Linked DNA regions of Callithrix jacchus. Each later gene encodes a partner of the first gene's protein in a complex. Links are inferred from orthologs where the notes say so. Each region holds a gene or a part of one and is shown on either strand. Other genes may lie near its edges.

Evidence for each region.
Region 2: the proteins of LTK (region 1) and ALKAL1 are in contact, whole or in part, in a crystal structure (PDB 7NX0), measured with the Homo sapiens proteins. The link is inferred for Callithrix jacchus from reciprocal best matches to the Homo sapiens genes LTK and ALKAL1. Residues at the interface, in NP_002335.2 of Homo sapiens: Tyr124, His140, Phe143, Ala250, Ser251, Pro252, Glu253, Leu359, Phe360, Leu361, Gln362, Leu364, Ala365, Val366, Glu368, Glu372, Glu374, Arg376; in NP_997296.1 of Homo sapiens: His93, Arg96, Leu97, Asn100, Thr101, Arg102, Glu103, Arg112, Arg115, Leu116, Arg119, Leu120, Ser123.

Annotation. Positions count from the first base shown.
Region 1 is NC_133509.1:45,093,593-45,097,910, forward strand, and holds the start of LTK (leukocyte tyrosine kinase receptor), read left to right. Parts: upstream 1-1,291; 5' UTR 1,292-1,333; coding exon 1,334-1,382; intron 1,383-1,503; coding exon 1,504-1,647; intron 1,648-1,744; coding exon 1,745-1,916; intron 1,917-2,366; coding exon 2,367-2,817; intron 2,818-3,038; coding exon 3,039-3,453; intron 3,454-4,318. UniProt on the Homo sapiens protein: Receptor with a tyrosine-protein kinase activity. Following activation by ALKAL1 or ALKAL2 ligands at the cell surface, transduces an extracellular signal into an intracellular response.
Region 2 is NC_133517.1:2,002,308-2,006,544, reverse strand, and holds the start of ALKAL1 (ALK and LTK ligand 1), read right to left. Parts: upstream 2,816-4,237; 5' UTR 2,642-2,815; coding exon 2,452-2,641; intron 1-2,451. UniProt on the Homo sapiens protein: Cytokine that acts as a physiological ligand for receptor tyrosine kinase LTK, leading to its activation. Monomeric ALKAL1 binds to LTK, leading to LTK homodimerization and activation.

The DNA.
Region 1 (4,318 bases):
CAGGATTAACACAGGCAACCAAACTACATAAGGCAAACACAGAGATCCAAGTTTCGGGGGGTAGCAGGGAGGTTCAGCCTTGCAATCACAAGGGCAGCACTGAAAGCCACAAGCAATGGCAAGTAATGAGACCTTACTTGGGGCAGTTTAAAGAGTACTTCCCAGCTGGGCGCGGTGGCTCACGCCCTAATCCCAGCACTTTGGGAGGCGGAGGCCGGCAGAACACGAGGTCAGGAGTTCGAGACCAGCCTGGCCAACATGGTGAAACCCCATCTCTACTAAAAATAGAGAAAATAAATTAGCTGAGTGTGGTGGCGGGCGCCTCAGGAAGCTACTCAGGAAGTTGAGGCAGGAGAATCGCTTGAACCCAGGAGGCAGAGGTTGCAGTGAGCCGACATCGTGCCACTGCGCTCCAGTCTGGGTGACAGAGCAAGACTCTGTCTCAAAAAAAAAAAAAAAGTACATCCTATGTGTGGTCACGCGTGCCACACACCCACCACCACCACAAATGAAGTGCACCCTCCACTGATCCTGTCCTCAGGAACCTGGAAGCCCCACCTGGTGTCTGAGGCGTGGCTCCCGCTTTGAGAGTGGGGCACCTCCTTTCCGGCCTCAAACCTACCCAGCTCCCGGCTGGCTGCGGCAGATGTGACGACTGAAGACTAGAGCCTTAGGTGGGGACTCCTTAAGGCTCCTCCCGGAAGCGTAGGGACCTCGCTGCCCACACGCCCCGCCCTTTCCTCCTCTGGCGTCCTGGGGTCTGAGGTGGGCGTGGTCAGGCCGGCTTTAAGTCCTGGGTTAAGTCTTGCCAGCCGCATTACACCCCTGTAAGCTGCAGCCCGGGCCGCAGTGGCAAAGTGGGCTGTCAACTTCAGGTTGACGGGCGTGGCCGCGACCGCAAGGGCTGTTGCGGGGTGGACCCAACGGAGATGGGCCGCTGGGGCCTGCTGCTGGTATGGTTCGGAGCCGCGGGTAAGTGCTGTCTGTTGGTCAGGGGACGGTTCAGCCAGAGGCACCTTCCTAGGCTTGGGGGTGGCCGGTCGCAACAGGCCAGGTGTCAGTGGTTCCTCCAGAGCTCTGGAACTCTCACAACCAAATTTCTTGGGCCCGTGCTTCTGAAGTGCAGACGGAGAAGCGCCAAGCGCGTGTGAATCCCAGAGTCTGGATCACGCAGCCTGGGAAGGAGGAACATTCTTTGCGGTCTCAGCACCGCCTTGGGGCGGGGCCATCAATCTAAGTCGAGGAAAGCACGGGGAGACTGCAGAACCGAATTCTGTGCGGCCCCCAAGTCATTCACTGGGAAGGGCGCTCGAGGAGAGAAACTGGCAGAGCTATGAGCGAGCACCCGCGGGGCTTCTGCGACGGGAGTCCGGTGGTGACTTGTAGGCTGGGCAGGGTGAAGGGTGTGGCCGCGTCCTCAAGGGCTGCTGTTGCGGGGTTCTTTCTTTTATATCCTATTTCCACCCCCGTTAACATCCTGCGCCCTCTGCTAACACCTTTCAGGCGCCATTCTCTGCTCTAGCCCCGGGTCCCAGGAGCCTTTTCTGCCATCCTCGCCCCTGCCGCTGTCAAGTCCTAGCCCCCTGGACCCGAAAGTCAGGGCCCGGCCTAGTAGCTTGGAGCCAACCTCCCAGCTGAATTCTCAGGGTGAGCTCCAGGCGTCTCCCTCCTCTTCCGCTCACCATTCCAGACCCCTCTGGCCCAGCCAGGGGTCGACGATCCTTGCCTCGCTCCTTGCTCCCAGGCACCGAGAGGTCTTGGCTGTTTAATACCTGCGGGGCCAGTGGCAGGCATGGGCCCACACAGACACAATGTGACGGGGCGTACGCGGGGACCAGCGTGGTGGTGACCGTGGAGGCCGCCGGGCATCTGAGAGGCGTGCAGCTGTGGCGCGTGCCGAGCCCCGGCCAGTATCTGTAAGTGCGGGGCGGGGGTAGGGTGGGCAGTGACCTCGGAGTCGGAGGTTTCACCGTCAGGGGAATGAAGGCCACGTGTGCACCGCCTTGCGTCTTGGGGTATTGCCCAGAGAGGTCCACCCAGGCTGACCTTGAGTGCCCCTCAAGGTGGCAGTAATCGCCACCGTGTTAGACCGTACCTGGAACCTCTTCCACCAAGCGGAAGCCCCCCAACCAGGGCGGTGCCAAAGGGTGCTTGAGCCTCCCCACATCTCCACGAACCCTCCTGAAATAGTGTGATATTTAATTTTTCGGTGTGCAAAATCAGCTTTCCCATCCCGTCAGAGTCTATTGCAGCCTCCAAGTTCCTCAGATAAAAAATAATTCTGGAGCCTTCTCTATCGTCACCTTCTGCCCGTAGCGGCCGGCCTGAGCACCGAGGGCTGGGGTCTCACCGCCCGCTCTCCGCAGGATCTCAGCCTACGGAGCCGCGGGCGGCAAAGGCGCCAAGAACCACTTGTCGCGGGCGCATGGGGTCTTCGTCTCAGCAATCTTCTCCCTCGGTCTCGGAGAGTCGCTGTACATCCTGGTGGGGCAGCAGGGAGAGGACGCCTGTCCTGGAGTGAGCGCAGCCAGTGGGGATGGGGCGGCTCCGGCGCCGCGGGGTGAAGGCTGCCTGGGGGCCGGGGGGGATGAGCCTTCCTCGGTACCGGGTCACCTGCACAGCGAGGGGAGGCTCCCGGACCCCGCCGATTTCCGCCCCCGCTGCCCGCAGGGTAGCCCGGAGAGCCAGCTAGTCTGCCTTGGGGAGTCTCGAGCCGTTGAAGAACACGCGGCGAGGGATGGGAGCGAAGGGGCCCTGGCGTCGAGGCGCTGGGCAGGAGGTGGCGGGGGTGGCGGGGGCGCCACCTACGTTTTTCGGGTACGTGCTCCCTTCGGCGCTCAGCGTTGGGGTCCCTATCCTCTCCTCAGGGGCGGGCACGCACGCACTCTACGTCCATCTCTTAGGGTCCCTCTAACCCTGTGATGGGCTTCGGGGGGGTCTTGCCTTTATCCGGACCCCCAGGGTGGGAGCCCTTGCCCAGTGCCAGTGCCCCTGGACGGCAGGAGGAAGCGTCCTGGAACGCGCCGCTGGCCCCACAGGTGCGCGCCAGCGAGCTGGAACCGCTGCTAGTGGCTGCCGGAGGTGGCGGTCGGGCCTACCTGAGGCCGCGGGACGGAGGCCGGACTCTGGCCGCCCCCGAGAAACTGGAGAACCGCTTGGAGGCGCCCGGGAGTGGCGGGAGAGGCGGGGCAGCAGGTGAGGACGCGGCCCGCGGGGAGAGGCGGGAGTGCTCTCCGTGTGGCTACCAACCTTCCTGCTGTCGCTCTGCAGGTGGAGGAGGCGGCTGGACGTCGCGGGCTCCCTCTCTGCAGGCCGGCGGCTCACTGCAGGAGGGGGCGGAGGGCGGCCAGGGCTGCCCCGAGGCTTGGGCGACGCTCGGCTGGGCCGCGGCCGGCGGCTTTGGGGGCGGCGGCGGGGCCTGCACTGCGGGCGGAGGCGGCGGCGGCTACCGGGGTACGTATACGGTTGGAGAGGGCAGCTGAGCAGGCCCGAAGGTGACATGAGATTAGAACCTCAGCACAGGCTGCAGCCCTCAGGAGGATAGGAGTGGGAAAGGCATTAAGACCCGCTCAGCAGCTCCAGGCAAAGCAGGAGCTTTTAGAAAAGGTAAAATACACCACAAATCGGCATGCAGACAGGACTCCCTAGATTTCCATTCAGTCCAAGGTATTTCCCATCACAGCAGGTCCCTGCCTTGTTCTGCAGCTGTCCCCAGAACTTAGAGCTGACCAAGTGTGCAAGCTGAGCAGGGAGGCAGAAAGGCATGCCTGGGTTAAGTCAGTGGTTCTCAAAGTGTGGTCCAGGAACCGGTAATATCCACACAGCCTAGGCTGTTCAAAATGCAAATTATCTATCAGCTTGGTGAGGGGGCTCAGCCTGTAATCCCAGCACTTTGGGAGGCTGAGGCAGGAGGATCACCTGAGGTCGGGAGTTTGAGACCAGCCTAATCAACATGGAGAAACCTCATCTCTACTAAAAATACAAAATTAGCTGGGCATGGTGGTGCACGCCTGTAATCCCAGCTACTCTGGAGGCTGAGGCAGGAGAATTGCCTGAACCGAGGAGGCGGAGGTTGCAGTGAGCCGAGATCTCGCCATTTGCACTCCAGCCTGGGTAACAAGAGCAAAACTCTGTCTCAAAAAAAAAAAAAGAAAAAGAAACAGAGGCTGTGTACCTGTGCAGGCTGTACTGTTCATATATACACACATCATTCACATCCTCACAGAAAGGGACTGTGAGGACATGGGACATGAGGGGCTTAGGCAGGCAGGCGGTGTCCCTGCCAGCCTGAGCTAGGTCTTCAGGCTCCAGCTGATTA
Region 2 (4,237 bases), on another chromosome or scaffold:
GACCTTGTGATCCACCCGCCTTGGCCTCCCAAAGTGCTGGGATTATAGGCATGAGCCACCGCACCCCGCCATGAGTAATTCTTTAATGTAGTAATTAATTTTTATTCTTTTGACTTAAAGTTCAGGGTACAACCCCTGCCCTACTTTGTTTTTAAATCTATTAGAAATCACAAGACATAGCACTTAGGACATCCCTCCAGCACCTGGGGGATATTCTCCTCCTGAATGAATGTAACCCCTGCCACCTGCTGAGTGTGCCCCATGAGACCATCCAGAGAGGACCTTGTCCTCTGTATTCTCGAGCCCTTGTTTGTCCCCGATCCAAGTATTCCATTCACAGACTCAGATACGGATGTCATGGGCCACCCTTTTCTTCCCTGTGAATATAGTACAAGCAATCAAAAGGTAAGACTACATTCACAGAAAGCAATGACTTTCAAGGCACCCACAGGGCACTTTGTGTCTGACCATATTGTTTTTTAAAATTTCAGAGGGTTGCCACTTTTAACTTTAAAATATTGTTGGCCGGGTGCGGTTGCTCACACCTGTAATTCCAGCATTTTGGGAGGCCGAGGCAAGATCACCTGAGGTCAGGAGTCCAAGACCAGCCTGACCAACATGGTGAAACCCCGTTTCTACTAAAAATACAAAAAAAAGAATTAGCCTGGGCATGGTGGCGGGCCTCTAATCCCAGCTATTTGGGAGGCTGAGGCAGGAGAATGGCTTGAACCTGGGAGGCGGAGGTTGCAGTGAGCCAAGATCGCACCATTGCACTCCAGTCTGGGCAACAAGAGCAAGACTCCGTCTCAAAATAAATAAATAAATACATAAATAAAATATTGTTTAATCCCTGTAACTCACTTCAGTAAGTCTTCACTGTCTTTGAATCAAAGAGAAAAGATTGTTGAATGAAACAGAAGGTCTGACTGAATGTGTGCCCTGTTGCTCCTGTGCTTTGAGAGCCTTTCTCCCAGGCCGTTCACATTCCAAACTGACATTTTATTCTCTGAGATAAATATCTTAGGCTAGAATAATTTTAAGTCAAAGCGCAGGATCCGTGTGCACCATAGCTGCATGGCTGTGCTGCGGACACTGACCCTGTGCCCTCCCGTCCTGAGGGCTCCCCAGTGGCCGGCTGGACTGCGAGGCTCTGCCCAGGTCATCCACACACCGGCTGGGCAGCCCACCTCAGCCTCCCGCCTTCTCCATCCCCTCCCCGGGGCAGAAAACCTGCTCACTCAGTGCAAGTCTGTACCAGCCCCTCCCTCCACACCCAGGTGTGCGGGAGAGCAAAGACACTGCCGTCTGCTCTTCTGGGTGGCCTCCGCCCTCTGAGTGGCGACAGATAGGAACTTGAAGAAAGTTTATGGAGTGAATAAGTACATATTTATATTACAATTATTGTGAAAGAAAAATGGCACTAAGAAACCCTTGTTTGCCTTTTTAGCCGTGAAGCCTGAGGGGAAGGGGTCAGGAGCTATGGTCCCACAGCCAGCCGCTAGCTGCGGGGCATCCCCAGGCCATCCTGGGCTTTCTCTCCCCAAGTCCAGTGCAGGCCACCAAGTGCCCCTGCGAAGGGTCCCTTCTGTCCCAGCCTTGCGGGCAGCTCCACCTTGCTCTGCTCTTGCTGGGTGCGAACAGACACGTGCGAGGAGCTTCTCGCTTCTGTCTCCACCTTCCTTCCCTGCGCATCCTGCCCTCCTCCCTCCAGCGCCTCCCCACGTGCCCGGCCGCCCCCTCGAACCCCCTTTTCCAGGGGCTTTTCCGTTTTCCCCGCATTCACGCGACTTCTCTGCCTGTGGGTGTCTCATGACCCTCTAGAGCGGCGACTTCTTCCTTCCTCATTCCTTCCACTCCCCTCGGGCATCTAAGTAGCAGGAAGCCAACTGTCCAAAGTTGATTTGGGAGCAGCCGCCTGCGTCTTGCGCCCTTCTAAAATAATCCGGGAACGGTCCCTGTAACATAAGTCGCCGTCTGCTGAAATTGGCGCGTCCTCAACCACTCCCTGCGGCCAGCGTGAGGGGGAGAAGAACGGGGCGTTCCTGGCACGGTCAGGTGTCTGCGGGCAGCAATCTTAGTTAATTCTCAAAACCCCGGAAGACCCAGAAATGAGGCGTTGACAGGGACCTAACCTGTCCACTACCCTCGCCCGGTGGGACTGAAACCCATGTCTTTGGGCTGCTCTACCAGTTTATTTCCAAAAAGGCCTCCCACACCTGAGGAGGGACATAAAAAGCTGGTCCCGTTGCCAGTCTGATTTCTTAAGTCTCGACCTTGGTAAATCTAATACGCTCATGACCTCTTTCAGGGAGCTGGGAATCTGCAGAGATGCTCTGTTCTCTGCTGTACTAATTTCAGGCTTCCTAAAACCCGTGCCTCGACCGGCTCCCAAGGGAATCCAGGAAGCCCCAGGCGCAGGGCAAAGGATGGGGCGGGACTTGGACATCATACCTGCGCTCTGGAAGCCGCTGGGAGCGCGGCCGACTCCGGCCGCGGAGAGGACAAGCAACGGTTTGGGCTCCTCATCCGCGACGCGGGTTCCCCTGCGCCCTCGGGGCCTCCCGTGAGCTCCGTGGGGGGACAAAGCCAGCGCCAGCAGGAGGAGCGCGGGCAGCTGGGTGCCGGGCTTAGGCAGCCGCATGTTCCCACGCCGGGAGGAGAGAGCAGGGGGCTCGCGGAGGATCCTGACGCGGGTCTGGAGAGTGCGCGGCCCAGGAGAGGACCAGCGGGACCCAGGGCGCGGCTACCCGGCAGGCCGCAGTCCTCGCCGCGCGCCAACCCTCGTGTGCGTCCGGGGTTCGGCTGGAGCTGCTCTGGGACCCGGCCCCCAGCGTGCGGTAACTTACTTACGGGGCGCGGGGGCGGGAACGGGAGGCGGTGCCTGGGGCGGCAGTGTCGTCCCCCGATGAGGGCGTGTCCCGTTGTGCGGGACCCTCGGAAGTCCGCGCTGCCTGCCGGGGTGGACCCCAGCCTCGGACTCAGCGGGTCTCAGGGCTTCCTACGCGACGCCTGCCTCGGACCCGGACCCCGGGCTCGCTCTCCGGTCGCCGTCCCTGGGAGGACTCAGTAGGGTACCCGCCGCATCGCCCCAGCGGTTCTCCCCGAGCTCTGTCTCCCGCCCTCGCCTGCCCTTCCCGCTCAGCCTCGGGGTCCGTCGCGGCTTCCCTTGGTTGGCGGGGTCTGTAGAACCCGCCGCGCCTAGGTCGGGACAGAAGAAGGCGGCGCAGGGGTGCGGCCAGGAGGAGCGGGGATCGCGGTGCCTTGGGCGCAAAGGTGCGGGTGCGCTCTCCTGCCGAGCTCCTGCTTGCTCGGGAATGCTGGCCCCGCCGTCGCGCCCGCCGCCCCTGCCCCAGGAGGGGGCCCGACCTGCCCTCTGGGTGCGGCACCGCGATATCTCCCGGGTTGGAAAGCGGAGAACCGAGGAGGTCGAGGGCACCGGGACCAGCTTCCCTGGCCTCCCTGGTGGGGCGTGGCGGGTTCCGATACTTCCCCCCGGTGACATCGCCAACGTTGACCAGTGCGCCCAGGAAAGCAGCCGGCTGGATTTTTCAAGTTAGGGAACTCTTCAAACTCTAACTCTAAAGAGTTTTAGTGTTAACAACTTACAAACTGAAATTAAGGCGAGTTCTGATTAAAATAAAGCGAGCATCTCTGATGAAACCGCGCTCTGTGAACTGTCGTGGTTTTAGTCATTTCAGCCGTCTGCTTTGTTGCTTTATATTAAGTATATTGGAAAATGTTGAAATTGCTCTCTAATCAATTGACTACTAATTATCTCCTCATATGCGAAGGGCAGATAGGTGGAAAGACGAAGGCAGGAATAGCTAAGGGCACTGAGGCTTCTTAGCCCCTAGGCATCGCCCAACGTTAACTACTCTACAAAAAGGGATCTTGTCGGTCACAGATCCTGAAAAATGACCTCGACTCCTTCAAATAGTTTATCTACGCTTGGCGTTGCCAACGTGCCTGAGAAACTGCAGAAACAAAGCGAGCTTTGCAGGAGCCTGTGAAATCGTGCCTTTGGATGAAGCTCTTTTGAGGAAGTTATGACACAGGTGAAGACAGCTTCTTCCAATCGTTTCACTGTTGAGCAAGCGTAGGAATCTGGTTTTTACTAGGCAAACACGGTGGTGTAAGAGAATGGCTCCCACCGTGGGAGACGCGGAAGAGTCTTCCTAGAAAAAGCAGGTTAGGAGTAGAATGAAGGTCACAGACATTGACAGGCACTTCAAAAATT